7 linked regions of the Macaca fascicularis genome follow. The main gene of each other region encodes a partner of the protein of the gene in region 3 in a complex. Links are inferred from orthologs where the notes say so. Each region holds a gene or a part of one and is shown on either strand. Other genes may lie near its edges. The genes, in order: GRM2, FFAR4, GNAI1, MTNR1B, SMO, LTB4R and S1PR1.

What was found.
Region 1: the proteins of GNAI1 (region 3) and GRM2 are in contact, whole or in part, in a cryo-EM structure (PDB 8JD5), measured with the Homo sapiens proteins. The link is inferred for Macaca fascicularis from reciprocal best matches to the Homo sapiens genes GNAI1 and GRM2. Residues at the interface, in NP_002060.4 of Homo sapiens: Glu28, Ala31, Arg32, Glu33, Val34, Asp193, Leu194, Thr219, Asp337, Asp341, Ile343, Ile344, Lys345, Asn346, Asn347, Leu348, Asp350, Cys351, Gly352, Leu353, Phe354; in NP_000830.2 of Homo sapiens: Lys599, Ala600, Ser601, Gly602, Arg603, Arg656, Ile657, Ile660, Phe661, Ala664, Arg665, Glu666, Gly667, Ala668, Gln669, Arg670, Pro671, Ile674, Pro676, Phe756, Val826, His828, Arg829, Ala830, Pro831, Thr832.
Region 2: the proteins of GNAI1 (region 3) and FFAR4 are in contact, whole or in part, in a cryo-EM structure (PDB 8ID3), measured with the Homo sapiens proteins. The link is inferred for Macaca fascicularis from reciprocal best matches to the Homo sapiens genes GNAI1 and FFAR4. Residues at the interface, in NP_002060.4 of Homo sapiens: Ala31, Arg32, Val34, Leu194, Gln304, Glu308, Lys314, Asp315, Glu318, Ile319, Tyr320, Thr321, His322, Phe334, Asp337, Ala338, Thr340, Asp341, Ile343, Ile344, Lys345, Asn347, Leu348, Asp350, Cys351, Gly352, Leu353, Phe354; in NP_001182684.1 of Homo sapiens: Arg71, Ala73, Thr74, Arg136, Cys139, Ile140, Leu143, Gln144, Arg145, Gly146, Ile230, Ile233, Thr234, Ser237, Arg238, Arg240, Leu241, Ser244, Leu245, Ala246, Tyr247, Ser248, His251, Arg254, Gln258, Arg261, Leu262, Leu266, Leu269, Met323.
Region 4: the proteins of GNAI1 (region 3) and MTNR1B are in contact, whole or in part, in a cryo-EM structure (PDB 7VH0), measured with the Homo sapiens proteins. The link is inferred for Macaca fascicularis from reciprocal best matches to the Homo sapiens genes GNAI1 and MTNR1B. Residues at the interface, in NP_002060.4 of Homo sapiens: Arg24, Arg32, Glu318, Ile319, Tyr320, Phe334, Asp337, Ala338, Asp341, Ile344, Lys345, Asn347, Leu348, Lys349, Asp350, Cys351, Gly352, Leu353, Phe354; in NP_005950.1 of Homo sapiens: Arg138, Tyr141, Ile142, His149, Arg150, Arg154, Ile223, Val227, Ala230, Arg231, Lys233, Ala234, Lys235, Thr252, Met253, Asn312, Asn314.
Region 5: the proteins of GNAI1 (region 3) and SMO are in contact, whole or in part, in a cryo-EM structure (PDB 6XBM), measured with the Homo sapiens proteins. The link is inferred for Macaca fascicularis from reciprocal best matches to the Homo sapiens genes GNAI1 and SMO. Residues at the interface, in NP_002060.4 of Homo sapiens: Glu28, Arg32, Glu33, Lys192, Leu194, Gln333, Phe336, Asp337, Thr340, Asp341, Ile343, Ile344, Asn347, Leu348, Lys349, Asp350, Cys351, Gly352, Leu353, Phe354; in NP_005622.1 of Homo sapiens: Arg261, Pro263, Ala264, Trp339, Ser342, Phe343, Ala345, Leu346, Gly347, Thr348, Thr349, Tyr350, Ser354, His433, Pro434, Gly435, Ser438, Lys440, Ala441, Lys444, Ile445, Glu447, Thr448, Arg451, Trp535.
Region 6: the proteins of GNAI1 (region 3) and LTB4R are in contact, whole or in part, in a cryo-EM structure (PDB 7VKT), measured with the Homo sapiens proteins. The link is inferred for Macaca fascicularis from reciprocal best matches to the Homo sapiens genes GNAI1 and LTB4R. Residues at the interface, in NP_002060.4 of Homo sapiens: Glu28, Ala31, Arg32, Leu194, Glu318, Tyr320, Thr340, Asp341, Ile343, Ile344, Lys345, Asn347, Leu348, Asp350, Cys351, Gly352, Leu353, Phe354; in NP_001137391.1 of Homo sapiens: Thr53, Asp114, Arg115, Ala118, Val119, Pro122, Phe123, Ser125, Gln126, Lys127, Arg129, Thr130, Leu208, Arg211, Arg212, Phe213, Arg215, Arg217, Arg218, Thr219, Gly289, Gly290, Gly291.
Region 7: the proteins of GNAI1 (region 3) and S1PR1 are in contact, whole or in part, in a cryo-EM structure (PDB 7VIE), measured with the Homo sapiens proteins. The link is inferred for Macaca fascicularis from reciprocal best matches to the Homo sapiens genes GNAI1 and S1PR1. Residues at the interface, in NP_002060.4 of Homo sapiens: Ala31, Arg32, Glu33, Val34, Leu194, Thr219, Tyr320, Phe334, Asp337, Ala338, Thr340, Asp341, Ile343, Ile344, Lys345, Asn347, Leu348, Lys349, Asp350, Cys351, Gly352, Leu353, Phe354; in NP_001307659.1 of Homo sapiens: Arg78, Met80, Arg142, Thr145, Met146, Met149, Lys150, Leu151, His152, Asn153, Arg231, Ser232, Leu235, Thr236, Phe237, Lys250, Leu254, Thr257, Thr314, Asn315, Lys316.

The regions. Positions count from the first base shown.
Region 1 is NC_088376.1:114,721,917-114,725,905, reverse strand, and holds the start of GRM2 (metabotropic glutamate receptor 2), read right to left. Parts: upstream 2,801-3,989; 5' UTR 2,658-2,800; coding exon 1,941-2,657; intron 1-1,940. UniProt on the Homo sapiens protein: Dimeric G protein-coupled receptor which is activated by the excitatory neurotransmitter L-glutamate. Plays critical roles in modulating synaptic transmission and neuronal excitability.
Region 2 is NC_088383.1:102,332,379-102,336,658, reverse strand, and holds the start of FFAR4 (free fatty acid receptor 4), read right to left. Parts: upstream 2,801-4,280; 5' UTR 2,772-2,800; coding exon 2,205-2,771; intron 1-2,204.
Region 3 is NC_088377.1:141,212,491-141,215,990, forward strand, and holds part of GNAI1 (guanine nucleotide-binding protein G(i) subunit alpha-1), read right to left. Parts: intron 362-3,500; coding exon 171-361; 3' UTR 1-170. UniProt on the Homo sapiens protein: Guanine nucleotide-binding proteins (G proteins) function as transducers downstream of G protein-coupled receptors (GPCRs) in numerous signaling cascades.
Region 4 is NC_088388.1:92,034,631-92,038,813, reverse strand, and holds the start of MTNR1B (melatonin receptor type 1B), read right to left. Parts: upstream 2,801-4,183; 5' UTR 2,732-2,800; coding exon 2,509-2,731; intron 1,974-2,508; exon of another isoform or gene 1-1,973.
Region 5 is NC_088377.1:170,650,043-170,654,285, reverse strand, and holds the start of SMO (protein smoothened), read right to left. Parts: upstream 2,801-4,243; 5' UTR 2,282-2,800; coding exon 1,954-2,281; intron 1-1,953. UniProt on the Homo sapiens protein: G protein-coupled receptor which associates with the patched protein (PTCH) to transduce hedgehog protein signaling. Binding of sonic hedgehog (SHH) to its receptor patched prevents inhibition of smoothened (SMO) by patched.
Region 6 is NC_088381.1:92,121,209-92,125,336, reverse strand, and holds the start of LTB4R (leukotriene B4 receptor 1), read right to left. Parts: upstream 2,801-4,128; 5' UTR 2,749-2,800; exon of another isoform or gene 2,314-2,748; coding exon of another isoform or gene 2,181-2,313; exon of another isoform or gene 2,113-2,180; coding exon of another isoform or gene 2,079-2,112; exon of another isoform or gene 2,000-2,078; coding exon of another isoform or gene 1,809-1,999; exon of another isoform or gene 1,573-1,808; coding exon of another isoform or gene 1,423-1,572; exon of another isoform or gene 584-1,422; coding exon of another isoform or gene 439-583; exon of another isoform or gene 135-438; coding exon of another isoform or gene 94-134; exon of another isoform or gene 1-93. Other genes in the region: LTB4R2 (leukotriene B4 receptor 2), read right to left, coding at 2,079-2,112; lipid transferase CIDEB, read left to right, coding at 94-134, 439-583, 1,423-1,572, 1,809-1,999, 2,181-2,313; NOP9 (nucleolar protein 9), read right to left, coding at 2,846-3,003, 3,336-3,441, 3,659-3,895, 4,079-4,128. UniProt on the Homo sapiens protein: Receptor for extracellular ATP > UTP and ADP. The activity of this receptor is mediated by G proteins which activate a phosphatidylinositol-calcium second messenger system.
Region 7 is NC_088375.1:133,172,650-133,176,731, forward strand, and holds the start of S1PR1 (sphingosine 1-phosphate receptor 1), read right to left. Parts: upstream 2,801-4,082; 5' UTR 2,708-2,800; exon of another isoform or gene 2,600-2,707; intron 720-2,599; 5' UTR 557-719; coding exon 1-556.

The sequences.
Region 1 (3,989 bases), on a different chromosome or scaffold from region 3:
GCTGGGCACTTGGCAAGCGGGAATCTGGATGAGAGGTAGGACCCAGTCAGAGACAGGAGGATCACAGCTGGGCACAGCTCTGGGAGCAGCAGAGGGCTCAGCGGGGCCAGCAGCCTCTGCTGAAGCTGAACCACAGGGCACCCTCTGCTGGCCCCTGTGGGAAAGTAGGAGGCTAAGGGCAGGGGAGCTGGCTCCCCACCCTTCCCACCCCCTCAAATCCTGTGCCCCCTGAAGACTCTCTGGTGCCCTCCCCCGACACGTTCTGTTTATCTTCCTCCTGACTCCTCTGCCCTGATTCTCTCCTCTGGCCACTCCTGGATTCTATCTGGCCACCCCTCTCCAATCCAGGCAGAGATGATCTGACAAGTCAGGAGTCCCTTGGCCAAGAGCCGATTTCACAGCTCCCCTCCACCACTGCCTTGAATGTGGCCCACCTCTCTCTGAGCCTTGGTTTCCTCATCTATAAAATGGGTTAAAAACAATAGCAGCTAATATCAACTGTGCCCTTATGACTTGTCAGGCCCCCGATACATACTATGCATGTATCAACTCATTAAATTTCCATGGCAAACCTAAAAGTAGAAAGTATGTGGGCCGGGCACAGTGGCTCACGCCTCTAATCCCAGCACTTTGGGAGGCCAAGATGGGCGGATCACCTCAAGTCAGGAGTTTGAGACCAGCCTGACCAACATGGTGAGGTCAGGCTCGTCTCTACTAAAAATACAAAAATTAGCCGGGCATGGTGGCAGGCACCTGTAATGCCAGCTACTTGGGAGGCTGAGGCAGGAAAATCGCTTGAACTCAGGAGGCAGAGGTTGCAGTGGGCTGAGATCTCACCACTGCACTCCAGCCTGGGAGACAGAGCAATATCTTGTCTCAAAAAAGAAAACAAAAAAAAAGTGTTGTGAATCCAATTTTATAAGGAAGAAACTGTGACACAGAAAAGAGAAATAACGTGCCAGGGTCATGCAGTTAGTAAGTGGGGAGACCTGGCTATTAAGCCCCTCAGGGTTGTTTAACATCAAGGGTGAGGGTGTGTGTGTGTGAGAGAGGGTGTGTGTGGGGGTGTGTATGGGTGTGTGGGGGGTGTGTGGGTGTGTGTGTGGGGGGGGTGTGGGGTGTGGGTGTGTGTGGGGGGTATGGGTGTGTGGGGGTATGTCGGGGGTGTGGGTGTGTGTGGGGGGTGTGAAGGTGTGGGTATGGGTGTGGGTGTGTGGGGGTGTGTGGGTGTGGGTGTGTGTGGGTGTGTGGGTGTGTGTGGGGGTGCATGTGTGGGTGGGTGGGTGTGGGTGTGTAGGGGTGTGTATGGGGGTGTGGGTGTTTGGGGTGTGGGTGTTTGGGGTGTGGGTGTGGGGGTGTGTGTGGGGGTGTGGGTGTTTGGGGTGTGGGTGTGGGGGTGTGTGTGGGTGGGTGTGTTGGGGGTGTGTGGGTGGGGGTATGTGTGGGGATGGAGGTGTGGTTGTGTATGGGGTGTGTGGGGGTGTGTGGGTGTGTGTGTAGGTGTGTGGGGCTGTGGGTGTGGGGTGTGTGGGTGTGTGTGGGGTGTGTGTTGGTGTGTGGGTGTGTGTGTGGGTGTGTATGGGGTGTGTGTTGGTGTGTGGGTGTGTGTGTAGGTGTGTGGGGGTGTGGGTGTGGGGTGTGTGGGTGTGTGTGGGGTGTAGGGGGTGTGTGGGGGTGTGGGGGGTGTGTGTGGGGGTGTGTGTGTGTGTGTAGGGTGTGTGTGTGTGAGGGTGTGTAGGGTGTGTGTGGTGGGAGTAATAGGAGTAAGATGTTCTCCTGCACAGTCTCTAAAAATTGACCGCCATTATGTGACCAGGGCACTTTCTTAGCTTCTGTAAAAGCTACTGCAGGGAAGCTTCTAGTTTCCCTTTTCAGCAGGAATTCTGGGTCACCACCTCTGGCCTCCCTCCCTAGCCCCCATTTGGGTGGCCTCCACGTACCTGGATGGAGACATCACTGTAGGAACCGCCAATAACACCAGTGATGGCAGTGGGAGCATCACCATGGGTGGCGTAAGAGCCGTCAGGGCAGATGTGGCGTGAGCCATCAGCACCACGGCTGAGTGAGGCACGCACAAAGTCCAGTGCCTGCTCCAGCGCATGTGTGTCCTTGGAACAGCTGTCGAGGATGTGCGCACCCAGGCGCACGCCAGGCAGCAGGTGTGGGTCACGGTTGATGCGGTCCAGTGCAAAAAGCATGGCCTCCAGGCGCTGGATGCCACGGTGCTCATTGACAGGACCACAGTCCTCTGCTGGGCCGCCCTTCTGGTGCACTGGGAACAGCCCACCCAGCACCAAGTCTCCCTCCAGGGTCAGCACCTTCTTGGCTGGGCCCTCAGCCACAGCACCCCACAGCAGCAGCAGTGCCAGGAGCCCAAGCAGTGATCCCATGGCCCCAAAGGGGATGGATGGGTCCAGCAGACCTGGGTCTCCAGGGGATGAGATTAGAAGCAGCGAAGGCAAAGAGAGGAGGAAACAGGGACCAGGAAAGGACAGACAAGAAGAGAGATGCGAAGGGACCCAGCTCCTGCAGAGATACAGAAAGACAGAAAAACAGACCAGGAAAAGTGGAGCCTGAGAGCAGTTGCCCCTTCTGACTCTGCCTCCCCACAAGCCCCTTTCCTGGGTACTCAAGAACAAGGGACAGGATGGTGTCATTAAGTAGGTTGAGAAGCTCCTGGGACTCCCCTGGGCCTGTCTCTCAGCCCTGGCCTCAGCTGGGTGAGAGATGGGCCCTATTCACCTACCAAACTCAGCAGTGGGGAGGGATGCAAGCAGTGAAGTCCTAGGCAGAGGACAGGAGACCCTAGCCAATGCTGACCCCTCTGTAAATCAAAGGGTGTCCAAGAACAGTATAAACCTCCCAGGATCCTGAGGTCAATACCTTTGGAACAGACTATGTCAGAGTTACAAACTCAGAGGTCCCCATCCTGAGCCTTGAATTTCCAGAGAGAAGGAACTGCTGTCTAAGGACCCACCAGGGAAGAGGAAAAGACAGTCTCTAAGGGACAGTCTCCAACCCGTGGGGAGACTGGAGCCCATGTGAACACCCAAGGGTGCTAGCCTGTGGTTCTTAAAAAGCCATCCCCACAGTTTCCTGACTGAGGAAGAAATAGAGACACTAAGCCCTGGGAATGAGACAGCAAGGTAGAATGGCTGGCCTCAGGGAGGGTACCAAAGTGGCTCAAGGTCCTAAGTCAACAGGGCAAGCAGATGTTCATGTATGTGTGTGTCAAGGTTGGGGGCCAGAGTCTCCAAACAGTGCTGAGGGTGAGAGTGCGGGACTCTCTAGCTCTATGTAGAACGCTGTTTGAGACTTTGTGCCTCTGTTTTCTCTTCACTCCCAACCCAGCAGAGAAAGTCACCATTTCCAATCTCCCCATCCTCAGCTTCAGGGTCCTGCCCACCCTAGCCATGGCCCTCAGAGACCCCCTCCCTGTCTCTTCCCCACTGTGTCCTATCATTTGTACCCCAGTTGCCTTCCCAAACACACACCCCACAAGGCTCTCACAATCACACGGGCATGGAAAGGCTGGGAGAGGGACATACCTCTTTCCTCAGAACAGGAAAGGAAACTGAGTTTGAAGAAGGGCAGCAACTAACTCAGGGACCCCATGTGCTGGCCACGGAGGCTGGGCCTCTCCATTTTGCCCCTCCCCAGGGCAGGGGCACTGGGCTCCTCTGGGGATCAGGAAAGAAGCAGCTCACCCAGGCAAGCGAGGGAGAAGCGGGGAGGAAGACCAGCACAGATGGGGACAGGGACCCAGATGGGGGCTGAGGCCAAAACTGGTCAAGTCGCAAGCCTCCCACAGGGGAGGCCCAGATAGAAGCTCAGAGGCAGGAAGGGGACAGAAACCCGGAGTCAGGCAGCCGGGGGCCTGGGCCACAAAATCTGGGCAGGGAGCGAGCAAGCCTGAGAGGTTGAGACAAAGACGGAGGCACAGACAGAAAGAAGGACCAGAGGACGTTGGAGCAGGAGGAATGGGAGAG
Region 2 (4,280 bases), on a different chromosome or scaffold from region 3:
ATTCCCTAACAGGGGTACAGCACTAAGTGGCCAAGACACGGAAGGCCCTCGCCTATGCCAAGGCCTTCTCACCCAAACAGTCGCCTGTGTCCCTGTCAGCACACAATTTTAGTCTGGGCTTTGGCTGGGAAGTGACAAGAGTCTTATTTTTTAATGTCATTTGCCAATTAATTAGGATTATACTTGAAATCATTGAAAAAAGGGAGAGGCACAAAATACACATCAGAAAACTTAAGATACCTTCAAGATACATTCTACCTGGTCTTTCATTCCCTGAACATCATTTTCTCCCGTAAGAAAGAACATGAGGTGAAATACCTCAAGTTCTGTGAGAAATATACAAGTACTATAACTCATTGAGAGAATAACTTATTTAAAAAAAATCAAAGAAACTGACAGCAGAAGCCCAGCCCCCACCTGATCCGTGCTTTCAGAGGCATCTGCGTGGCCCACCTTGATTCTCAGGTGTGTGTGGGCTAAGAGCAAGCCTGCCCACTAAGCCACAGCCCGTGGTCTGCCTGTAAATGGCACCCAACTGCTCAGCTAATCCTGGCTTCTCTGGGCCCCTCTTGAGTGGACATGGCCACAAGCTTGCATGTTATTTGATCAAGTGCCACAGGCTTAATGGGGCTCCTGCCCGTTAATCATTCAAGGCCATAAACGAACAAACACCTCACAATGTATTTCACACAAGCATTAGAAACAAGTATTTTAAGTTTATGTTTTAAAAAAAAAAACTCGCACAGGATACAGGAGGCAGACTCCATCCATCCTACCCCATCCCCTCCATAAAGGGCTGTGTGAGAGACAGGTCTAGGAAAACCCCCAGAGAAGCACCACCTCTCTGTTCCAGGCTCTGGAGGGTCACACACCCAGGGGTGTCCCTGGTGGGCTCTGTGTATCTCCATCACTGAGTCTTCCCCTGGTGACATGTAATTTCTCCCTCCCTACTCCCCTCTCTGACCACTTAGAAGGTCCCTCTTTGGGACTGTGATTCCTGTTTGTGTCACGATTACTCAGGGCACCCCATACTCAGTCCTACGTGGAGAGGGAGCTTAAGGGCAGGGGATTCCGGGCCGGAAAACCAGCGACCCCGGTAGGGAAGGGGAGACCAAGAACCAGCCACGGCAGACGCTCCTGGAGGCTGAGCCCCCAGCGCACAGACCCAGGTCCTTTCCCTATCTCTCTCCGCGAGGCACGGAGAACCAAACACACTGGGAAGACAGCCAGACAGCGGCCACTGTCCTCCACCGCGACGCCGCGTCTAAGTCTACTCTCCCGGGTGGATTTCGGCGCACGAACCCTGCAACCACGGGACAAAGCGGCAGAAGAAAAAGACCTGAGCTCGGGATTCCGGACCGCGGGACTCGAGGGGACCCGATCCAATGTCCTGCACTATCCACAGAACCTTATTCAGATGGTGGTCACTCCCACCGCCCCCCCCCCCCCATGACCTAATAATGACAACTATGGACCCGCTACGCAAAACAGAGCTCGTCGGCCCAGCCTTTGTAATCTGCACATTTCAGGCGCCCAGGACACCTTGAAGGTCTAGTGTAATCCTTCCGTTGTGCAGCTGAAATATACTGAAGACCCCGGAAGGGAATTCCGTCACAAGTCCCCTAAAGACAGCATTGCATCTGGGGTCCCTAGGTCATACGCGCCTGCCCACGCGCTTTCAAAGCAGGACCATAACCCAACCCTGGACAGGAGCCCAACTGCTCCTTGAATTACCGATAAACTTCTGGAAGGAGCCCAACTCCTCCTCGAATTACGGGTAAAATACTCTGAGCAAGTTATTATACACTTCGGTGTGCCTCTGCTTCTCATCTGTGAAATGGGCGTGATAATAACAGTATTGTAACACCTGGCGAGGAATCATGATTCAATACAAAGTGATTGGCCACCCTGCACCCCCAAAGTTCCATCTCGCTCCTAAACTACTCGTTAATTAACCTCGGAACAGTCATTGCATTTTGCAAGAATTTGGGGGACTCCACTTTCATCATTTAGGAGGGCGTGTGCACAGCGTTGTAGTGAGATTTAAGAGATTAAACTTCACAGAGATGGGCACAAGGTTTGGCACAACGATTAAGTGCACTAAATGGCTATTGTTGTTGATCATCCTTATCCCAGCTCCCGTCGGGGCCCCGCTTCCCAGCCTGCGCAGGACACCTGCCCGGCACGCACAGAGGGGCGCTCACCTGGTCGGCGCCGGGGAGCCGTTGCGGGACGACTCGGAAGAAGACGCAGAGAGGCAGAGCGGCGACCGCCGAGTAGCCCCAGATGAGCGTCAGCAGCACTGCCCGCGCCCGCCGCCCAGGACCCCGCACGCCGCGCTGCAGGTGCACGATGCACACCATGCGCTCTAGGCTGACCGCGGCCAGCGTGAGGATGGTGACGCTGCCGCTCAGGGTCATCAAGTAGAAGAGCAGGTGGCAGGCAACGGGGCCCAGCAGCCATGCCTCGGTCCAGCGCACGGCCAGCACCAGAGGGATCGCACTGATGAAGAGCAGGTCGGCGCAGAAGAGGTTGAGCACCAGGCAGGCAGTCGTGCCGCGGCGTCGTCGGCGCGCCACCAGCACCAGGGCGCACACGTTGCCCAGCAGCGACACTGCAAAGATGAGCGCCAGCACGGTTGTCTCCACTGCGGCCAGCAGTAGCCGGTGGTCGCCCTTGACGTCGGAGAAGAAGGAGAAGCGGGTGCGGTTGGCTTGCTCCAGGCTGCGCAAGGGCGCGTCGCCCGCTGCCCGCGCGCATTCAGGGGACATTCCCGGCGCCTGGCGGCCCGCAGCGGTCTGAGAGAGTGCTCATCTGGGAGACTACTGAGTGCCAAGGCGGGGAAAGAGGGAGGGAGGCGGTTGCGAAATCTCACCTCTGGCCCCCTCCCTTCTGAGGAGCGCTAGCGCTGGGTGCAGGGAGCTGCGCCCGGGGCGCGCGGGAACGAGGAAGTGCCCGACAACACTGGCTGCAAACACCACAGCTGGGCGGGGAGGTGGCGGCCTAGCCGGAAGCCTCGCGCCCTCTGGCCATTTTAAAGTGTACTCAGAAGCCAGAAAACTCACTTAGCGAATTCCTCGAGCCCCCGCAGGGCCTGCCTAACCTCCTTCATCCTTCAGGGACACTGGATGTGCGAAGCCTTTTGTGAACGGATTTAGCTAAAATTGATTTAAAAGTGTCAGAGCTGGCCTTTGGAGATTATTTTGGCCTGTGTCGTTCAGATTTTACTAAAGAAACTCCATGGGTCTGGAGGTAGATCCTAAAGCAACTTGTAATGAGTCCATATTTTTTGTGGGGGAGAGAGGTAGTGGAGATCTTTTATCACTACTTAATAACAGATCTTTAGGTGGATTATCTACTCCCTCTACCCCAGATTTTTAATCTATAAAATGGGAATAATAATACCTCATTAGGCTATTGTGAAGCTCACCTAGAGTTTGGCACACTTGGCACACAGTAATTACTCATTAAATGTTATCAAATGTTATTGTAACTAAAATGCATATATATTTTGCATTCTGAACAATGACATAAAATGCTTTCTTGTAAAAAGGGTGAGTCCTTCCAAATTTTTTAATAAACTTGCCATCCCGGGAAGACAGATATTTCAAGGCCAGATACACACACAAGCTATGAATGTGCCCCAGGTGCCACAGTCTGAGGAGCACTGGGCAATCCAGTCCTGTTAGAGATAAGGAAACTGAGGCCCAGCCAGAGTGACTTGTCTAAGCTGTCCTCTGGTTAGTAATGAAAGTCAGTCACCTGTCCCCGTCCCACGTGTTTCCATCACACCACTGCAGTCTGGTTTTCTGTAAATGAGGAAGCTGGAGATGGAAAAGTATGCCTGTGGCCTAAGATCCAGTGGCCACTTCCCCAAGCAGCCACCCTCCTACCACCCACACCTTCACCCCCTCTCCCCTCTGCCATATTACCAGGCCTCTCCCAGTTGCCCATTCTGTCTTCTAATTGTCTTTCTTAAGGCTGGATCTTAAGAAATCTAAGTACTGACTGGGCGCAGTGGCTCATGCCTGAAATCTCAGCACTTTGGGAGGCCGAGGCGGGTGGATCACTTGAGGTCAGGAGCTCCAGATCAGCCATGGCCAACATGGTGAAACACTGTCTCTACTAAAAATACAAAAATTAGCTGGGTGTGGTGGTGGGTACCTGTAATCCCAGCTACTTGGGAGGCTGAGGCAGGAGAATTGCTTGAAACCAGGAGGTGGAGGTTGCGGTGAGTCAAGATCACGCCACTGCACTCCAGCCTGGGTGACGGAGCGAGA
Region 3 (3,500 bases):
GGTCCTTCTGTTACTTTCAGTTAAAAAAACAAAACAGAACAACTTTGGTCAGGTCCCAGATGCATTTGCCTTATATTACATTCTGTGTTGCTGCAAGACTCTAGTCTACAGAGATCCATATATAAGTACTCATTTGGTTTGAAAATGCATTTTACCATTAACTGCAAAACTTAGAAGAGACCACAATCTTTTAGATTATTTTTTATGATGACATCTGTTACAGCATCAAAAACAAACTGCACATTCTTAGTATCTGTGGCACATGTGAAGTGGGTGTATATTTCCTTTGTGTCCTTTCTTTTATTGAGGTCTTCAAACTGACATTGAATATATGCAGCTGCCTCTTCATATGTGTTTGATCCTGAGATGGAAAAAGGAAAGAAATATAATGTAGAAAGTTAAAATAACTGCTTAAAATACTGAAGTCAGTTTCATACAGCTTCATTCATGGACTCCTTAACTGTGCTTTCCCTTCTAGAATGGGAGACACTATTTCTTCTAAATGAAAAACACTCCATGTTAATTACCTTTAATGACTGTAAGTTATCCCTAAAATTAAACAAAAAATTTCCTCTACATGGCATTCCGTGTTCATCATGATCTTTGTTCCTGCCTCAATCTCCAAAGGCTAGATCTTTTATCCTCTTATCTTCTGTCCTCTACACCCCAACTCAGATGCTTGATGACGGCATGCTATTTCAGTTCTGGCTCAACGGTGGATCAAAAAATGTTGGCTGAATGCTGATCAGTATTTTTTCCTCCCTTTTCTATATATACATTAATTAGCATTCTTCACTCATTTTTCTTTATTCAAAAATTGTACCAAGGTCTACAATGATGTTTAGGAGTATGAGGTTACAAAAAAAGTGAATGACACACTCCAGCTTTCAGGTTACTGACTAAAAAAGACTCCCTCTGAGTACAAACACTCCAGAAATTGTTTGGCAATATCTAAAGATAATCACACACACACTCTGACCCCGCAATTCAGTTTCTAGATATACACTTGACAGAACTGTGTATCACTGAAGACACAGAAGAAGTGAGAATGAAAGTACTACTGCTATACTCAATAACTGAGTTCACTCATAAGTGAACTATTGAGCAAAAGCAGCTAGATGCAAAAAGATCACATACTGTATGATACAACACTGTTTGAAAAATGAATTGGTGAGGACAAAAGTCTCACCAATTAATAGAGTCTGTGGCACATGTGAAGTGGGTATATATTTCCTTTGTGTCCGTTCTTTTATTAAGGTCTTCAGTGATTATCAGTGAGTAATCAGTGATTACTCTGTGTATCGGATGTGAGTGTGTACGTGTGTGTTGCGGGGAGGTTTTGATTGGTTAAGACTGGGAGGAAGCATGATGGGACTTTCTGGGGCCTTGAAGCTGTTTGGTTTCTTCACCTGAGTGGTGGATACTGGTATGTTCACCTTTAAAAATGCACTTATGCTGAGGGTGTGTGTGTACATATGTACGTACATAATATACATAATGTATACAATGTAATGCTATATGTAATGCTTCAATAAAAAAATTAATCATCCAAAATTATCTGCCAGGCTTTCAAGGTCTTCTACTATCCAGCCTGCTCTGCAGTGCCATCATTCTGAGATCCTCTCCTCCACACTGGTGCTCAACCCAGGTCCATGTCATGAGGACCCAACATGCAAACTGCCACCTGTGGTACTGCAGTACTTCCTCTTCATTCTACTTTACCGGCTGAGATCTCTGCCTGCCTTCACATTTGCTCAAAATTGGCACTCCATCTAACTTTTCCTAATTAATCAAATCTAGCTGGGTTCTCTATCACTTAAAAACTTTTGTCTCCTCCTAGAAATAACTATTTCAGTTTTTGTTATACTGCTTTAAAGTCTTAAATTCTTTTTCAGTGTTGAGTCTCCTAAACTAGAATGTGAACTCCTCAAGAGTAAACATCACACCCCACCAGCCCCATACTCCTTTTATATCTTACAGAATCCAGTATAATACAATGTGACAAATGCCCATAGGAATGTTGTGTAATGTGCTATGATACAGATTATGAGATTTTTATTAGGGATAAAAAGGTAATAAAGTTATTGTCTTTAAGTTTACATTTTAACTATTTTATATCACTAGAAATCACATACTTTAAAAAATCAAATTTTATTAAATCCTAAGTTTCGTTCTCCAAAATTTTAAAGCAATTAACAGCATCTTGTTGGCCCACAGAAGCTAATGCAACTGCTAAATTAAAATATATTTCAGCCAAACAGCTTACATTGAGTGCCTACCTCAATTTGCTCTACATATCCTAGGCAGCTAGCTAGATTACCCTCAAAGTACAACACACATGAATGAACATTCTTCATTCTGATTTTAAGTCTTAAGAAAAGAATGGCAATGCAGGGACACGAGAGCAAATATGGTATTTTTTTTTTAATGTGAGATAGAATTATCCTGAACAAAGGTAAGCACAGGTGATAACCAGGTTCAAAAATGAAGAACTGGGAGGCTGATGACAGAATCAAAAAGGAAAGAGAAGAGATCTGCGTTTAAACAAGAAGAGGAGTTCTGTTTGAGCTTCGGGTGCTAAAAAACCAACCAACCAACCAAACAAACAACAAAAAAACATGTATGTTCAAGCAGTTGGTAATGCAAATCTAAGGCTCCAGAGATAAATTAGGGCTGACCATAAAATTTAACCTATTGAGAATAGCTATGACTACGAAAGGATAGAGAGCTAAGATGACATGACTGCAGATGAAACTGGTAAAGTGGCAACATACAGTAAAAAGAAGAGGAGGAGAAGGATGACACATGAGCAGACAGACAGGAGATAAATCAAGCAAGTTGCTTAGGGGCTACACAGGGTTCTTCCACAGCCATAGGAAATTGAGAGTTGCGGCTGAAGCAAGAAGCAACTGAATCAATACTTAGGGCATGCCATGGAGATCTTAAATAATAATCTTAACTCTGGAGATGTGAAAGAATTATGTAATATTCTTTTTGTGCAAAGATTCTGAAGTTAGGGATTATTAAGCAAAACACAAGCAAAAATTCCTAAACACACTGTCTACTTGGCAAGGAAAGAGCTAACAAGTATATTCTTAGTTGTTCTGAAATCCCTGTAGCTATACAATATTTATGGATTCATTTGGGGCTCTGGTACTATGAATTAATACAAAATGGCTACATCATAGAATACGATAAAAATAAACTAAAAAATATATTCAAATAAGGGAAAAAATAAGCCATCTTGACTCTGGATAACTTATTTCCAATAAGCACAAAAAAATGTTCCTGAACACAGTGATTCAGGACTATGACTTCCAAAAAGAAAGCAAAGTTTTAAAGTAACTGTGTGAAATTAGTTTGAACTGAAGTATAATTTCACAGTACGCAAAAAGAGCTATAACAATTAACATGATTATATTTACCAAAGAACCCTCCCCTTTTGGTTTCAGTGAATGTTTAATTAAATGTAGCCTAGCCGTGAATGGTGGAGGAGCAGG
Region 4 (4,183 bases), on a different chromosome or scaffold from region 3:
TATCCCTGAAAAAAAGGACAATTAATGTAACCACTCACCCTGCCATCAGGAGCGACACTGTTAGGGATGATACAGAGCTGCTCCGCAGGGGATGGGTTTGTGATAGGCAAGTAAAGGATACTGGTGTCTCCTGGGAAACATGCTGTGATCTCAATATGGGCTCTGCATCTTGGTTATCGGAAATATATGTATTCTCATTGTCACAGACTTAAGTTATTAATACCAATGATTTAAGGAGCCAGACTTCAGTATGGAAAGGACTGAAGAAACGTTTCTTAAAGTAAATCCAAACTCTTCAGTAAGACAAGGCCTGATTAAGAGTAGAATGGGTGCTGTAGGTTTTAAGTACCTTTTGAAATCTCACTCTGCTGAGATCATTTAGTTCAAGTCAGTACTACAATTGTTTGTGACTATCACCAATAAAGCCAGTGGTCACATAAGAACTGGTTAAATTGCAACACTGTAGCAGTGGCAGGAATTGATGTCATTTAGATATAGTGTTATTTATTTATTTATTTTTCCGGTGCTGGGCTGTAGCAGACACATCGGGAGGTAGGAAAGATAGAAGAGAGGATATGCCAGCAATTGAACATGCTCATGACCCTCCCCAGTGACGCTCTCAAATTGGGAAGGATTCTGTAGACCCTGCCAGGATCACAGAAAAGCCCAGCCCTTTGTAGGAGGCAGTGGGGGAGGGGTGCTTTTCTCCTTCCAGCAGAAGGAAGCAACTCCTACTTCCCTCAACCACCTTTCTCACGGTGGGCAATCCAAATTACTGAGTAGGGAGCCACGGCCTGACAGACCTGCTCTAAATACTCAATAAGTCAGGGACAGAAGGGGCCAATGTCAGAACCAGGAGGGCCGATTTCTCCCCCACAGAGCCAGGAGTTGTCTCCCTTTTGCCTCCCTGTTCAGGGAATGAATGTTTATGATGGCTGCAAGGGACAATGTCTCAAAAATATTAAATGCAGTTTTCTAATCATAACCTGTTCTTCCCTAATATATAAGCTTTTCTTCAAAGGACACAATATTTTGAACAATGTATTCCAGAAAACAGCCACCACTACCGAAGTGGCTGAGTTAGAAAGCTTACTTCTTCTTCATAATGTTATGTTTCCCATTTGATGGCTGGATACTCACCGTTGGAGCAGTTTCTTGTTTGTTTTTTTAGATAAAAATCCTAGAGTCAGCCGGACGCGGTGGCTCATGCCTGTAATCCCAGCTCTTTGGGAGGCTGAGGCGGGTGGATCACTTGATTTAGGTCAGGAGTTTGAGACCAGCCTGGCCAACATGGTGAAACCCTGTCTCTACCAAAAACATAAAAAATTACCCGGGTGTAGTGGCACACACCTGTAATCTCAGCTGCTCATGACCCTGAGGCAGGAGAATCCCCTGAACCTGGGAAACGGAGGTTGCAGTGAGCCTAGACTGTGCCACTGCACTCCAGCCTGGGTGACAGAGCGAGAGACTCCATCTCAAAAAAAAAAAAAAAGAAAAAAAGAAAAAATCCTAGAGTCACAGACCACACCAAATAGATATTACCATTTGCTAAAAATGGTCTGACTCCTTAAAAAAGCATTTTTAAGCTATACAATTGTTTTTCTGCTGCTATCTTTCCATTTTAATTCACTCTAATATTTGAATTTGCCCCCAAGGCCCAACTTGAGAGACTGCAAAATTAACAGGTCACCGAGCTCCCTCCTAGGCTGAAATGGTCAGCATGCCCCATGACCTGTGAGGGTGAGAGTTCAGACACCGACCCCTCCTCCCGCACTCTGGTTTTCTTTCTTTGAAGACCTGACTAGGGGAATATTGAAACGAGAGTGAATTGAAATAGGAGAAATATTTTCAGGTTTGCAACACGATTTAGCCAAGCCATTGCTTTAATTTTCACAGTTAATCCCAGGAATTCCCAGTCTTCAGAAAAGACTACAATATTTCAAAGCAATTTAGTGCAGTCCAAGCAGAATCTGCAATTTCTGCATTTACACTCTGTCCACTGGAATTGGGTCTTCAGATGACCTGGAGATAAGTTTTTGACACAAAACCTACTGAAATGCTTCCATTGATTAACTCATTTTTTCAGCAAGGATTTTCTAAGCAACTACTACATAAAGCTACAGTGCTTGGCAAGGAAGGAAGTGGGGTGTCAAGCACAAGTGGTGTTCTGTGGCCTGATGTGGGCACCTCTGGAAAGGCACACATTGGAGCGCGACGGGTAGCGATGGCATCCAGCAGCGTGGGTTCCCACAGCGCCAAAAAGCGCGCCAGTAAAACTTTCCGTAATTCCCTCTGTGCCAAGTGCATCCTGGGCAGTCGCATTTCGGAGGGGCAGAACTCACCCTAACTTTTGAGTGCAGAGTCAAACTTAGGGACTAGGTTAGAGTGAAGGGAAAGGGGAGCCCGGGCTGAGGAGGGAAAAGGCAGCGCATATCCCCGGGTCAGGGACAAGACCAGAGGACAAGGAAGGGCCCGACCCCAGCACCCAGCATCAGGAATGGTGCTCACCTGCGTTTCGGAGCTTGCGGTTCCTGAGCACGGAAAGGATCACCAGGAGGTTGCCCACAACGTCCACGGCGGTGGTGACGATGAGCACCACGGATAGCGCGGGAGCCACCCAAGGAGGTCGAGGGGTCCTGGAGGGTTGCCCCCTGCCAGTACCCAACCAGCCTGGGCGCACTGCCCACCCGCCGGCTTCGCAGCAATTGGCGAAAGAGCCGTTATCTGACATTGCAGACTCTCCCGCGCTGCGCTTTGGCCACCGCGCGGCCTCGGACAGCCGCAGGGCTCGCGCAGTACTGAGCCGGGCGCTCCCTTCCCTACCCAGCTCCCGTGTGCAAGGGAGGAGGCCAGTGGGGAGGGGTCTGGAGGAGATAACTAATTAAGCGTGGGCAGGGGATGGAGAAAAATATAGGAATGGGAGGAGGACTTGGGGTGCAACCGTTGCAGAAAGGAGTGCGTCTCTCAGCGGTGCGCTCAGGAACAGCTGGGACCACACAGCTGTCTCTGCCACCCCGCCCCCAGCACGTGCCTAGCTCATCTCAGGCCGCGGAGCGCGTCTAGCCTCTGTTCCTCGGTACACAACTACACCCGAGACCCCGATTTCCTCTACAGCGTCCCCAAGAGAAGCTGTGTCCAGCTAGGAACATCCAACCCAGGTTTATAGACTGGAGAAGGTGCTGATGGTCGGGACCTCCCATCAGTTGTTAAGCAAGGCAAGGTTTGAGGTCCCACAGGGCTGTGCAGCTCGAAAGAGAATGCAGCTCCTAAGATGTGGGGACAGAGCCCAGAACATAGTAGTGTAGACTTGTATTCTAGGGAGCTGCAGAAAAATAGGAACCTAGCCATTTTCCGAGCACTCGCTGGGTATTGCGGGGGACATTAGTGATGTCTCTACTTGGTCCTCTTTATAAAGCCAATATTTTAGTATATTTACCAATATATATTTACACATAATACTTAAATAGATGTATGGCCAATATTGGGGGTTGTGATGTGGTTTTTGGAGGGGTTAGGACAAGAAAACGAGTGAGGCATGATTACAATAAAGAAGGAACTCGGGTGCCCTTTATTAAAAGTGCTTGAGTCGTGATCTGGTGATAATAATAATAGATAACTTCTCTTGGGGGATAATCTTATGCCAAGTTTGTCCTAAGCACTTTTCACACCCACTAGAATCACTAAAATCAAAATGACTGATTATCCTAAATTTGTGGAGGAAGTTAAGCAACCAGAACTCTCATACAGTGCTTTTATGAGAATGCAAAATGGTACAACCACTTTGAAGAGCTGTCTGTTAGCTCCTAATAAAGTTAAACATACACCTATTCTATGACCAGAAGTTCCAAATGAAAAGGAAAAATATTTCCACAAAAAGACGTGCACAAGAACGTCCAGAGCAGCCTTGTTTATAGGAGCTCAAATCTGGAAACACCCACAATTTCCATCAACAGAAGAACGGATAAACAAATTGTGGTATGACCTTGCTATGGAATACCTCTCAGCTATAAAGATGATTGACCTACACAACAGCATGAATTGATCACAAATATGTTGTATTGAACAAAAGAAGCCAGATACCAAAAAATATGTACTATATTATTCCAAGTATATGAAGTCCAAAATCAGGAAAAATTAATATATTTTCTAATAGAAATCAGAAAAGTGGTTACATTTGAGGGTG
Region 5 (4,243 bases), about 29 Mb from region 3:
AACTCATAGTGAACTAATGGAACTAATGGTGCTGGGCTCAGTGCTGGCGTCTCTGCAGGACCCTACCCTGCCAAAAGGCACAGACAGTGAGATTTCAACCTGCACAACCAGCAGATGGTACTAACTCATACATGTTCCAGCTTAAACTACTTCTGTCTGCTCAGCAGCTGCTCTCAAGAGTATGGGCTGGAAAGAGGTTCATACCCTTCCTCCTTGATCTGATGGTAACTGCAAGGAGGCAACATCAAACATGCATTTAACTTGGGAAAATTAAACCATGGGTCCCTGCAAAATCAATAAAGAGAGGGACAGAAAGATTATCCTTTGACAGCATGAGCAACTCAGAACTGGGTAAGATTCTAGTGCTGAGAGATTTGAACTTTCCATTCAGCTCGCTCCTAAACTCAAGTGGTGCTCAAAGCAACCTTGCTTAATCTTACTTTGGTGTTCTTTTTATTACTATTATTCTTTCAGTCTTTTGCATGAACGTAACTTTAAAATTACAATTATTATCTTCTATGTATACCCATTGTTATGTATGAGTATACATGTAACACATTTATGCAAACGTCGTAAAAGGAGTGTATATGCAAAACGACATCAACCTTACACTACAGTAATCTGCAGAGTTTTCAAAACCACTGTTGATTACACATGGTTTCTGTCTAACGTGCTGTGCTGACTTTAGAACCTGATCCCCACAAAGGATGCAGCTCCACCTTATGGGTACCATGGATACCATCCTCCAAGTTCCTCCTCCAGCATCTGAACCAAGCCAGGAACCTTATGGACTTGTCCAACATCTGACAAAGGCTGAGAACTTGTCAATGACAGGCGGCCTACATACACTCCCTACATTACGGTCCTCACCAGCCCCCTGGGCAGAGCTAAGACATGGGGTACCCCAGCCCTGTCAAAAGAGGGAGGCTCCCAGTTCTGCTCCTGGCTCCTGGTTTTCTTTTCTTTTTCAAGAACGGTTTTAGAATCACACTGGCTAGAAGTGAGGGCTGATAAGGCCAGTTCCCTTCCCCAGCACCCTCCAGGCCTCATCTAGAAAAGTGACAGGTGGGGAGAGCGTATACTCTACACTGCTAAGGAAGGACATTTGGGTTCAGTGTGCAGTTTTTCAGACTCTGCCACTCCAGTGAGGGGGCTCTGGGACTTCAAACCACCATGGAAGTGTCCACAGGCTCTCAACACTCCAGACTTAAGCGTCCTTCCACAGCCCTGACCAGCCTGGGTAACCAAATTTCCAAAGAACACACAAATAATCGTTAGAAAGGTCTTATTCCTTCATAACCTCCTGCATGCGTCAGAGTGCCCGTTTTTCAGATGCACAAACTGAATGAAATCTCCTGTGAAAGTCAGACAAGATCACAGTTCTCCAGGATTCTTTCCTGTCTCCCAAATCAAGATTTCCAGGACTTTCTGGTCACTTTCTAATAACTCATCGTTAAGGAGGTTTCATTTCCTTCAAAACTTCACTTGATCATGTCCCCCTACCCTTCCCTCCAAATGCCTAAACCTCTTCCACCGTCATCCCTCCCCTTTTCCTCTCCAACTCCAATTTCCCCAGGGTCTTGAACACCTCCTTGAATCCCCTGGCACCCTGCTTCCAGAGTAGGTGGAGCATCTCCTCTTCTTACAAAATGTCTTTTCCCGTGGCTTAGAGCCCCCTCCTCACGGGCCCCTCATCCCCGCCATCCTTTGCTCACCCACCAGCTCGGGACCTTTGTGACCCGCTTCGTCAACTTTCTTGCCCTCCCTTTCCCATGACCGAGGGTCCCATCCTGCACGTAACCCGCCCCCAAAGTTTCGGACTCTGTCCTTCCAACTCTCCTGGGTGCTGTCCCCGCCCTCTCCGAGGCTCAGGCCTGAGCCTGTTCTTTCCAAGGGTGCCCCCGTCTTACCGTAGCACCTCCCGCCCCCCAAACCCGGCTCCGGAGTACTTACCCGACCAGAGCACGAGCTTGCCGTGCGCTTCCTCCTGGGAGTCCGAGTCCCCGGCCAGCAGTGTGGAGGTGGCCCCGTAGGGCAGCACGGAGCCCAGGCACACGTTGTAGCGCAGCGGCTCGCAGGGGGCAGCCCGGCCGCAGTGGCTCAGTGGCGGCGGAGGGCCGGTCACCGCCGCGCTCCTCCTAGCGCTCCCGCCCGCGCTCCGCGGCCCAGGCCCGGTCGCGTTCCCGCTCGAGGACGCCCCCCGGCTCGGGCCCCCCAGCAGCAGTAGCAGCAGCCCCAGGAGCGGGAGCTCCGGCCCCCGCGCGGGGCGGGCAGCGGCCATGGCCAACCCCGCCAACTCAGCAAAAACCCCGGCGCCCCCGCCCGCTCCTCGGAGCCCACCGGCCACACGCACGACCCTTGCGGGCGCGGAGGCGGCTCATGCGACCTGTGCGCCCAGAGAAACCGGGCCCGGGCCCCTCCGGACGCTCCACGCGCCCCGGCCCCTCGGCGCCCAACTTCGCAAACTTTGGAACCTGGGGCCCATGTTGGGCTGCGGAGGCCCGGACCGGGATGCACGACTCCCAAAGCTCTCGCCTCGCAATCCAAGTTGTCTTCAGCCCTGGGAGCCCCCTGGGCCCCCAATCCCCAGCCCCATTCCCTCTCCCACCATTAAAGCCAACTCCCAGCCCTGCGAGGGAGGCCAGGCGCGGGCCGGGGGTGCGAGTGCAGCTCCGGCTCCGCCCCCGCGCCAGCCCGCGGCCCGGGAGCCACCTTCACCCCAGCGCGCCGCAGCCCCCCGAGCTCTCCTCGCCGACAACTCGGCTCCTTTGTTGCTCTAGCTCGCTGGGCTCTCTGGAATGCACGGGCCTCGCGGAGCCAAGCCCGGCCCCCCTGCGCCGAGGCTGGGGGAGGGACTGGACGAAGAAGGAGGGGAGAGATGGGGAGGGGAGGCGAGAGAGGAGGAGCGCAAGCGTCAGCGTCCCCGGCGCCCGGAGGGGCCCGGGCTAGGGGGATCTGGTGACCCCGCCTGCCGCCGCCCCGCGCCAGGGGGAAAGAGATGGGTGGAAATCGTGGGCCGGACCTGCAAGTAGAGACTCGGCGGGCACCTTGGTTGGTCTGAGGTCGTCTGCAGGAAGCGGACTTTTCTCCTGGCTTAGGGTGGGAGAGACAGGGATGCCTGAAGTCAACGGGGACTTCTATTCCAACTCTGCCCCGTTCTCCAGGCTCGCCAGTTTTTCCTGCTTTGGTTAGATTTTCCGACTGATCCCGGGGCCCCATGGAGAAGAACCTGGGTTTGGGGTTTGTGCTTCTCCAAATCCTTCCAGCTCGGTACCTTTGAAAGAGATGACCTCAGAGTCACTCACAGCAGCTGCTCCGGCTGCTGTTACCTGCGGGAACAGGTGTCTGGGAAATAAACTTGCCAACATCAAGCCTTTACTGCTACAAATATGTGAAGTCTGAACTGTGGTTCCCAGGGACTGGCCTTGGTGATGTGAGAAGGAAGCCAGTCCTTCTTTGATGGCCCTGCCGCTCATCTGCTCTGGGAGGTTTCTGCTACTCCTCTTCCCCACTCTGCTCATTTTGCCTTTCCTCACTCCTTTGCGCATCACGCCTTTGGTCACCACACTTAATTTCCCACTGCAGCAGTTTACACCTGCACAACCAAGTATAACCCAGCATAACCACAAGGCTCCCACCAGGAGAGTAGACTTGCATTGAGCAACTTTTTCCTTGTTGCTAATCGGGCAGCACACCAGGGTGGGTTTTCCTTTCTTACGCCTGGAAGAGTCGTTCACGGCCTAGCGGTAGTGGACTAGTTCTGTTACTTTGGACAGTTTAAGTGCATATTAGCTATTGCACTTCAACTAAATCAATTGGAAAGTGAGCGAGCGAGAGAGAGAGAGAATTTAATTCAATTTAGCGAAGCTTTCTGAAATTCCAGCATGTTCATGGCACAGAGACACCCTGGAAGAACCTGAAGACTTCCATTTTCCTGTGGATACATGGCTTGCTCTCAGGAAACATAGCATGACAAAACAGCAACGTTTCCTCCTCCAGGGAAGGGATCTTATCTCATTCTCTGTGTTCACAAAACATCTAGTTCACTTGAGCATACACATTAATCACTTGATAAAGAAGCTGCCAAAATGAGATGTACCATGAGTATGCTATAGTAATAGGGGAGAGAGGTCAGCGTGGATAGAAGTAGAGGAGGTGGGTTTTGAATCCAGGACTAAAGTATGAGTAGGAGGAGTTAGAATCAGGACATAGAGGCTGGGCACTGTGGCTCATACCTGTAATC
Region 6 (4,128 bases), on a different chromosome or scaffold from region 3:
CCCAGGTTTGTAACAGAAAACACCACTAAAGCCCCAGCACAGGAGAGAACCACCCAGCCCAGAAGTTCCAGGGAAGGAACTCTCCCATCCACCATGGAGTACCTCTCAGCTCTGAACCCCAGTGACCTACTCAGGTGACTGCTAACCCTCCGCTCTACCCTCTACCTTTAGGGGATATAAGCAGGGCAACAATACTCCACTCAGCCCCTAGGACACTAACCAGTACCCCTTCCTCTTCTGCTCCCCACTCCATAGTGGGCTTGTCAAGCTCTTGACCCACCCACCCCCACCTGTACTCCATGGTCTCTCCCTCATCCCTACCATCTATAAACCTAGATCTCTCCCTCCCTAGCCCTCTAGCCACTCTACCCCCATCACGCCCTTTACACTCACTAAGCCCCTTCTTGCCCCTTCTTGACTTTTCTTCTCAACTACCAGGTCAGTATCTAATATAAGCTCGGAGTTTGGACGGAGGGTCTGGACCTCAGCTTCACCACCCCAGCGACCTTTCCGTGTCTGTAATCACAAGCGGACCATCCGGAAAGGCCTGACAGCTGCCACCCGCCAGGAGCTGCTAGCCAAAGTAAGTAGGCCAAGTTCCTTGGTTCCTTTAGCAGGGGTAGCCAAGGGGCTCCACAACATTGGCAACTTGTGATGATGGAGCAGAGAGGGCTGAAGTCACACAGCTGCCTCCTCCCACTGAGAGCTCAGTGGGGTGGGCCTCATGAGTTCCGGTCAGTTTGTTCATTTTCCACCTAGTGAGCTTTTCTATGGGAGCAGGGGTTAGCAGGAAATAGGGAGAGTTGGAGGGATGGAATTCAGAGGCCAGTATGGAAGGCAATTTGTATGACAAATCAAGTTCAAATTCTGATTCTGCCACTTCCTGGCTGTCAAACCTTGGGAAGTTGTTCAACCTATCAAAACCTCAGTTTCTTCATCTATAAAAAGGCAATAATAACACATCACCTCCTAGGGTTGTTGAAAGGAGTAAGAGGATAATGTAGGTAAAGTCCTCATACCCGGCACAGAGTAAGGACTCAAAAAGGTTAAACACTATTACTGAAAACACTTCTGGAGAACTCTGAGGGTGTGGGAAGTGAGGTGCAGCATTGTAGATAAGACAGAAGGGTGGACTTCATGAGAACCTGGCTTGCTTTCCAATTCCAAACCAGGAGTGACTTGGAGGGGAGCAAGGGGAGATGCCAATGACATGGTAGGAGCAAAGAGGAAAAAGCTCAGCCTCTAGCTAGGATCCCCCAAAACCTGAAGAACACGGAGAGCTGCAGCCTTTAGGAGGTATCAAAGTGCCGGAAAGTCAAGGTGGGACATCGACCAATGTCTAGAGCCAACTGATGGATGTTGGGCAGCTAAAGAGGGAAGGGGCATGGGATACCTTCCTTCTTGCTTCTTGCCATTGGGCAGGCATTGGAGACCCTACTGCTGAATGGAGTGCTAACCCTGGTGCTAGAGGAGGATGGAACTGCAGTGGACAGTGAGGACTTCTTCCAGCTGCTGGAGGATGACACGTGCCTGATGGTGTTGGAGTCTGGTCAGAGCTGGAGCCCCGCAAGGGTAAGAGGCCTATATTGGAGCTGCTTCCACTGCCCGTCCTTTAGAGCTTTCCCGGGCTTCCTCTCTAGCTTAACCCTGATCCTGGGGACCAGGTGCAGGGGGAGTTGTAGAATTGTTAAGGATGTCACACAGTGGACAGAAAGCCTAAGCGAGGGAGAGTCTGACACGGTGCCGATGGAGATTAGTGGTGGGTGTCTGGTGTGAGGATATACTGCACTGACAAGGGTGTCCTACAGAGTGGAGTGCTGTCATATGGCCTGGGACGGGAGAGGCCCAAGCACAGCAAGGACATCGCCCGCATCACCTTTGACGTGTACAAGCAAAACCCTCGAGACCTCTTTGGCAGCCTGAATGTCAAAGCCACATTCTACGGGCTCTACTCTATGAGTTGTGACTTTCAAGGACTCGGCCCAAAGAAAGTACTCAGGTCAGAAATCAACATGTCATACTTCCCCATCCCCTACAGTTGGATAGTCCCCATAATTCCTCCTCCTGCACCCACCTACCCCTAGTTAGCTCTTGCTTGTGGAAAATCCTCATCTCCCGGCTTGATGGCTTCCTCCCAGGTTTCCCAAATCATCTGATTTCCTCTTATCTCTGCCCTTCAGGGAGCTCCTTCGTTGGACCTCCACACTGCTGCAAGGCCTGGGCCATATGTTGCTGGGAATTTCCTCCACCCTTCGTCATGTAGTGGAGGGGGCTGAGCAGTGGCAGCAAAAGGGCCGCCTCCATTCCTACTAAGAAGGGGCTCTGAGCTTCTGCCCCCAGAATCATTCCAAGAGACACACTGCAAAGACTATGACAGCATCAAATTTCAGGACCTGCAGACAGTACAGGCTAGATAACTCACCCAATTTCCCCATTGTCCTCTGATCCGCTTGTCAGAGAACCTTTCAGCATAATGCCTCACATCCCAAGTCTGTACCTTTACCTGAAGAATGCTGTCCCTTCCTAGCCACCTTTCTGGCCTCCCACTTGCCCTGAAAGGCCACAAGCCTGTCCCCCAGGCATCTTGATCCCAGCCTGATTGCTGCTACATCTAACCCCTACCAATGCCTCCTGTCCCTAAACTCCCCAGCACACTGATGACAGCCCTCTGACTTTACCCTGAGATGTCTTCATATCCTTCACCACAAACTAACAAAAACATTTCCAATAAAAATATAAAATATTTACCACTACGACTTTTGACTCCAATTTAAACCAGGAAAGAGATGGGGTGGATACCCCCTTTTGCCCTCCCCCATCAACACGCAGTCCCAGATCCAAAGCCTCAGTCTTCAAGTATGGAGTTCAATGCCCGCCTCCGCTTGGCCACCGCACCCTGCTGCTGTTCCCAAGCCTCTCGTCGCTTTAAGAAGGTAGTCAAGGCCACATTTCGAGCCACATGGTGGCCGAAAGGGTCTCTTATCAGCTGCTGGTTCTGCTCCCCTGCAAAGGGAACCACTCATGTTTAGTACCACCATGCTCAAAGACAGACTCTACCTGAGGTAAAGGTCCCTCCATTTCCCCCAGACCCTGCCACTGGGGTACAGTGAACACTTCACTTTCCAAAGAACAGAAGTCAGAGGGAGGGGTGAGGGCAGAGGACTGCACAATTAGTCAGCGGGAGGGAAGGGGAAAGCAGACTGCTAAGAACCCATGAGCAAGACCACCCTTTGGAACTAAAGACTGTTGAATTTCAGTAGACTTCCCAGCCACCCAGTGATCTGGAGTAAGAGAAGGGAAGTCTGGAAACATCAAAGAGAGGGGCTGGTACTCACCCAGCTCAGCAGCAATTTCTTTCCGAGCCCCCAAGGCTGCTCCACTCCAGATGGCATCTAGCACACGGCTGCCATGGCGACTACAGGCCAGAGCCACATATTGTCCCTGTATTGAGACAAGCAAAGTAGGTCTCCCTAGCAAAGTCCACAAAAGTGTATTTTGGGGGCTTGCGGGGAGTGAATTTTCTGAAGAGTTTAGGGGCTGAATTAAAATAGTCTAGTAATTACATAGCCTTTTGGAGTCTGAAGGTACAGTCCTGAGAAAGCTCATATTCTCTAAATGGATGATGGTGGGGAATCAAGGCAGAAGCCAGAAATCTAACCTTTAGGTTCTGCAGCACACGGCGGCGCTGCTTGCGCGTCACAGAAGGGCTGGTCAGGATGGCATCGAGCACATGAGAGCCAGCAGGACTTTGGGCCAGGACCAGAAGTTGTGGTCCCGTCAAGGCACCCAGACTTCGAAGTACAAGACCAGGAGTGGAGAAGTGCAGCAGATGCTGGAGCAGTAGAGACCCAAGGACTGTTACGTCCCCCAAGGCCCTGGCTGCTGCCATTTCCACCTGGGAGCGCAGAGATAGGAAATTAGGAGGCACCAACAAGCCAGGTGGATGAGCCCATCCCCAGAACACTGCCACCTCCACCTGGATGAAGTCACCACTCTCACCTCAGAAGTCAGAGGCTTGCTAAACCCTAGGAGGCCTGGCTCCCAATTAGTCACTGGCTTGGCCTCTCCTCTACCTCACCTGGTGCTCTGCAGGCACTGCCCCCTCCTCCTCCATCAGTCCATAGTACA
Region 7 (4,082 bases), on a different chromosome or scaffold from region 3:
TGATGCAGTTCCAGCCCATGATGGGCAGGCCACCCAGGATGAGGGAGATGACCCAGCAGGCGCTGATCAGCAGGAAGAGGCGGAAGTTATTGCTCCCGTTGTGGAGTTTCATTTTCAGCATCGTGATATAGCGCTCAATGGCGATGGCGAGGAGACTGAACACGGAGGCTGACAGGGCCACAAACATACTCCCTTCCCGCAGAAACCACTGGGCGGGAGTGAGCTTGTAGGTGGTGGCCCCAGACAAGAGCAGGTTAGCTGTGTAGGCCACTCCTGCCAACAGGTCTGAGAGGGCCAGATTGCCAATAAAATAGTACATGGGTCGGTGGAATTTCTTGGTTTTCCAAATAGTCAGCAAGACAAAGATGTTCTCGAGGATGATAAAGCAGCAGATAAGAATGAACACCACCGAGGTCAGTTTAATGCTGTTCTCCCTGTCCGCGCTGGTATTCAGCTTTCCCGTGTAGTTGTAATGCCGGACAATAATATCATAGTTGACGTAGTCAGAGACCGAGCTGCGGAGGGCCTTGACCAGCGGGACGCTGGTGGACCCCATGGTGCCAACCCTGTGTCCCCAGGAAGTCGGGGTGGCGTTACTCCAGACGAACGCTAGAGGGCAGGGCGAGAGAGCCTTCACTGGCTGCAGGGGTGGTTCGATGAGTGATCCAGGCTTTTTGTGTAGCTTTTCCTTGGCTGGAGAGGGCCTCGGAAACCGCAGCCTTAAACAAGTCAGAGGAGAGAGTCAGGGAAAGAGCCACAGCATACTGGCATAATTCATTCTAGCTAAGGCACTGCTCCAATTGTGTTACTGTTGATTTGTTTTAAAGAAACTTGGGAAGAGCTCAGGGAGAGAGAATTTTTTTAAAAAATCACTGCTCCTACTCCTGTAGGTTCCACAATTGGGAATTCACCTTTTTTCCAAACTCCATAAATCACAAGTGCCCAAGAACAATCTGATTGAGTTGGGCTCCTTAGTAGCCCAGAGATGCAAATTTTCAGCGCCCAGAGAGATTAAAAAAAAAAAAAAAATCTTTTTTTCTTCCCTTTTTTTTTTTTTTTTTCCAAAAAAGGAAGAGGGGGAAGAAAAAGAGGGAGAAACTCTATGGCCACATTCACTCAAAGAGAAGTGGGAATTATGATGTTGGCTGTGGGTTGACCAAAACAAAAACAAAAACAAACAAACAAAAAAGAAGATGGAAAACAAGGAGTGGGGGGAATGGGAAACCTAGAGAGCACACCCCATTTTAACCCCACTCCTGCCCTCTCGCCACCCCCCACCCTCCCACCCCCGTATTTCCAGCCATGAAATTGTCTGAAGCAGTCACCAGCTCAGCTGCACGCTCAACACCAGCCCACGTCTCTCCTCGGAAAAGACTAGACTGCCAGTCTGAGGGTAGAGACACACACCTCTGTTCCCCATGCCCACCCCTAGCTCCCCTGTTCAAAGAGACGAGCACCACCTCCTAATTGCCATGCAAGAAATCAGATTTGCAGGAAAATCACTTGAAAGCGTAAGTCATTTGGGGGCTCTATTAATAACTCTCTAGGAGCAGGTGTGCCTAGGGTCGGAGGGCGCAGTGAGGTGTGGGCAGCCAGGCCCGCCCCGCCTTGCAGTAAACAGGAAAGCTTAGCGCCTCCGTGAAGCGACTGCCTTTTCTTTCTTCTTCTTCTTCTTCTCCCCGCCTCCCCCGCCCAACCGCCCCCAAGCCAGGGCAAGTAAATTTAAAGGTATTCAGTTAAAACCATTCATAACAGATTGCAGCAAATCCCAGAAGTTTCGTACACTAGTTGATCGCATAAATATTTTTTGCTTTGTTTAGTTTAGCCAAAACATACACAAAAGAGAGAAATCAAACTACTCATGACAGCAATAATACATGCTACCACATTTTTAATTTCGAGCGCAAAACTACTCTTCAGAAACTCACATTAAACTGCTCCCTGGTGCATTGCTAAATTTGCGTGGGCAGTTTTATTTACTGCCGTCCCCCAACACGTTGACTCCTCTCCTAGGACTAGAAAGTTACAAACAAACTAACTTTCTAAGACCGCACTGGTCAGCAGAAGTCTACTTCTAAGTTGCTTAAATATTTCAAGGTAATTCAGCAGTGCAATAAAATGAGGTAATAGAGATGAGAGCAATCCCAGCAACTCCGCGAACAGCAGAGGCTGCTCAAGCCAAGAAGCTCCACATTTCCCCCAACTAATTTTATACCCTGCTCCTGGGCAGTACTAGTTTAAGCCATTACCTACGCCCCACACCACCCACCATATTCTTTGTCTATAGGATTTCCAAAATTTAGCACCTTCCCTACTACTCCTCCGACCAACCGCAGCTTTCACTGCCCCTACCCCCATAGGTTCCACAGTTGGGAATTAACCTTTTTTTCCAAACTCCGTAAATCACAAGTACCCAAGAAAAATCCGATCGAGTTGGGCTCCTTAGTAGCCCACAGATGCAAATTTTCAGCGCCCAGAGATGCATGTTTTCAAAGTTTTTGTTTGCCTCGTTCGGCTTAAAAATTCGTTTCTGACACCTAAGCCCTACCACAGCCGGGCTCCCCGCGCCCGCAGTCCCCCGCCACTCGCCGCCCCCTACCTCGCTCAAGCAGGGCGAAGTTGCGTTCGGAGAGCCCGGGATCTGTACGGCTCGCTCCGCATCTTGCTGCTGCCCCCGACTGACTGCGTAGTGCTCTCGCAAACTTACTCGAGTCGGGGTCCCCTCCCTCCGCAGCGGAGCACTCCAATGGCCAGTCCCGCTCGCCGCGGCCAGTTCCCTGCCTGCTACGCGAAGTCACCCAGCGCCGCGCCAAGGCTGGGTGGTTTCTTCAGGAAGACGCTGGGAGGGGTTAATGCCTTAACCCCCCACGCCCTCTGCCAGCTAGGGGCCCCCGGATCTGAACTGCTGAGAAGCACTGTCCAGGAAAGATCTGGGGCAGAAGCAAAAAAAAAAAAAAAAAAAAAAAAAAAAAGAACTCCTCCTCCGCAAACAACAAATGAAAGAAAAAAGAGAGAGAGAGAGAGAGAGAGAGAAGGGGCGGAGCCCGGTAACCCCTGGATTCTAATGTATAAATCACTGCCCTCGCCCAGATGCACGCTGATCCCTGGCGGTGGAGAGGATTCTCCCGAGCCCCTGAAAAAAAAGGAGGTGGAGAGACTTGGGAAACTTTTCTCTCGAAAAGTCTGAAGGGGCAGAGGACGGCCCGGAGTCTCGTAGCGCACCGCCCTGGTCCCACACCCCCCGCAGCCCTAGGAGGATCGGTGTGCTTAGCTTGTGACCAGGAGCTCCCCGAGCCACTTTCACGCGGGCAGCAGAAAACCAGAGCCGCGGCCCGGCGAGTCTCGGCGGCGCTCTGGGGAGGAGACGCTGGGAAGGGGCTGCGAGAAGTACAGAGGAAACAAGCAGCCCGGGAGGGAGAATGGACCGGGAGGTTCCTGTTCTCCCCGCGCCACCCCAGATCCTGGTGCTCCTCGAAACTGCGGTCTGAGAGGGCAGTGGATTTCCCGGAGTGCACAGAGAAATGAACCAGCGCCGGTTTTGGTGTTGGGCAAGGGGTTTCCCTCAGCTGAGCGCAAAGTCAGACTGTGTGTCCCAGATTCTGGCCAATGGAGAGGTCGTTGAGGAGGTGGGCTGCTGCCGAGTCCTGAGAGATTCAAAACGCCTGGGCAGCTCCGGAATTTCCGAAGGGGAAGATTCTCGGCCCCGCGATGCGGAGCAACTGCAGCTGCCCAGCAGGGGCCGGCACCCTTCTCTCACTTTCTGCTTGAGAGTCGACTCAGAGGCCTCAAATCTCATTACTAGCAACCTGCCCACCCTTTTCTTTTGCTTAGATGCTACTTAAGAACGTGAGGCTGAGAGGCGGCCTTGGTCAGATCTGCCTGCGTGACAAGCTCAGGAGGCTTCTGCCCTTGCCCTACTGTTGTAAAGGTTTCCACCCAGTCCCTGGTCGCACTGCTTTCCCATCCCGGCAGATGTGAACTCAAAAACTTCCTCCGCTGTGCAGTTTCAATTGGCAGACACACCCTGTACCTGAATGACTCAGAAGGAGGCAGAATGAATAAACAACAGACCCCTGACTTCT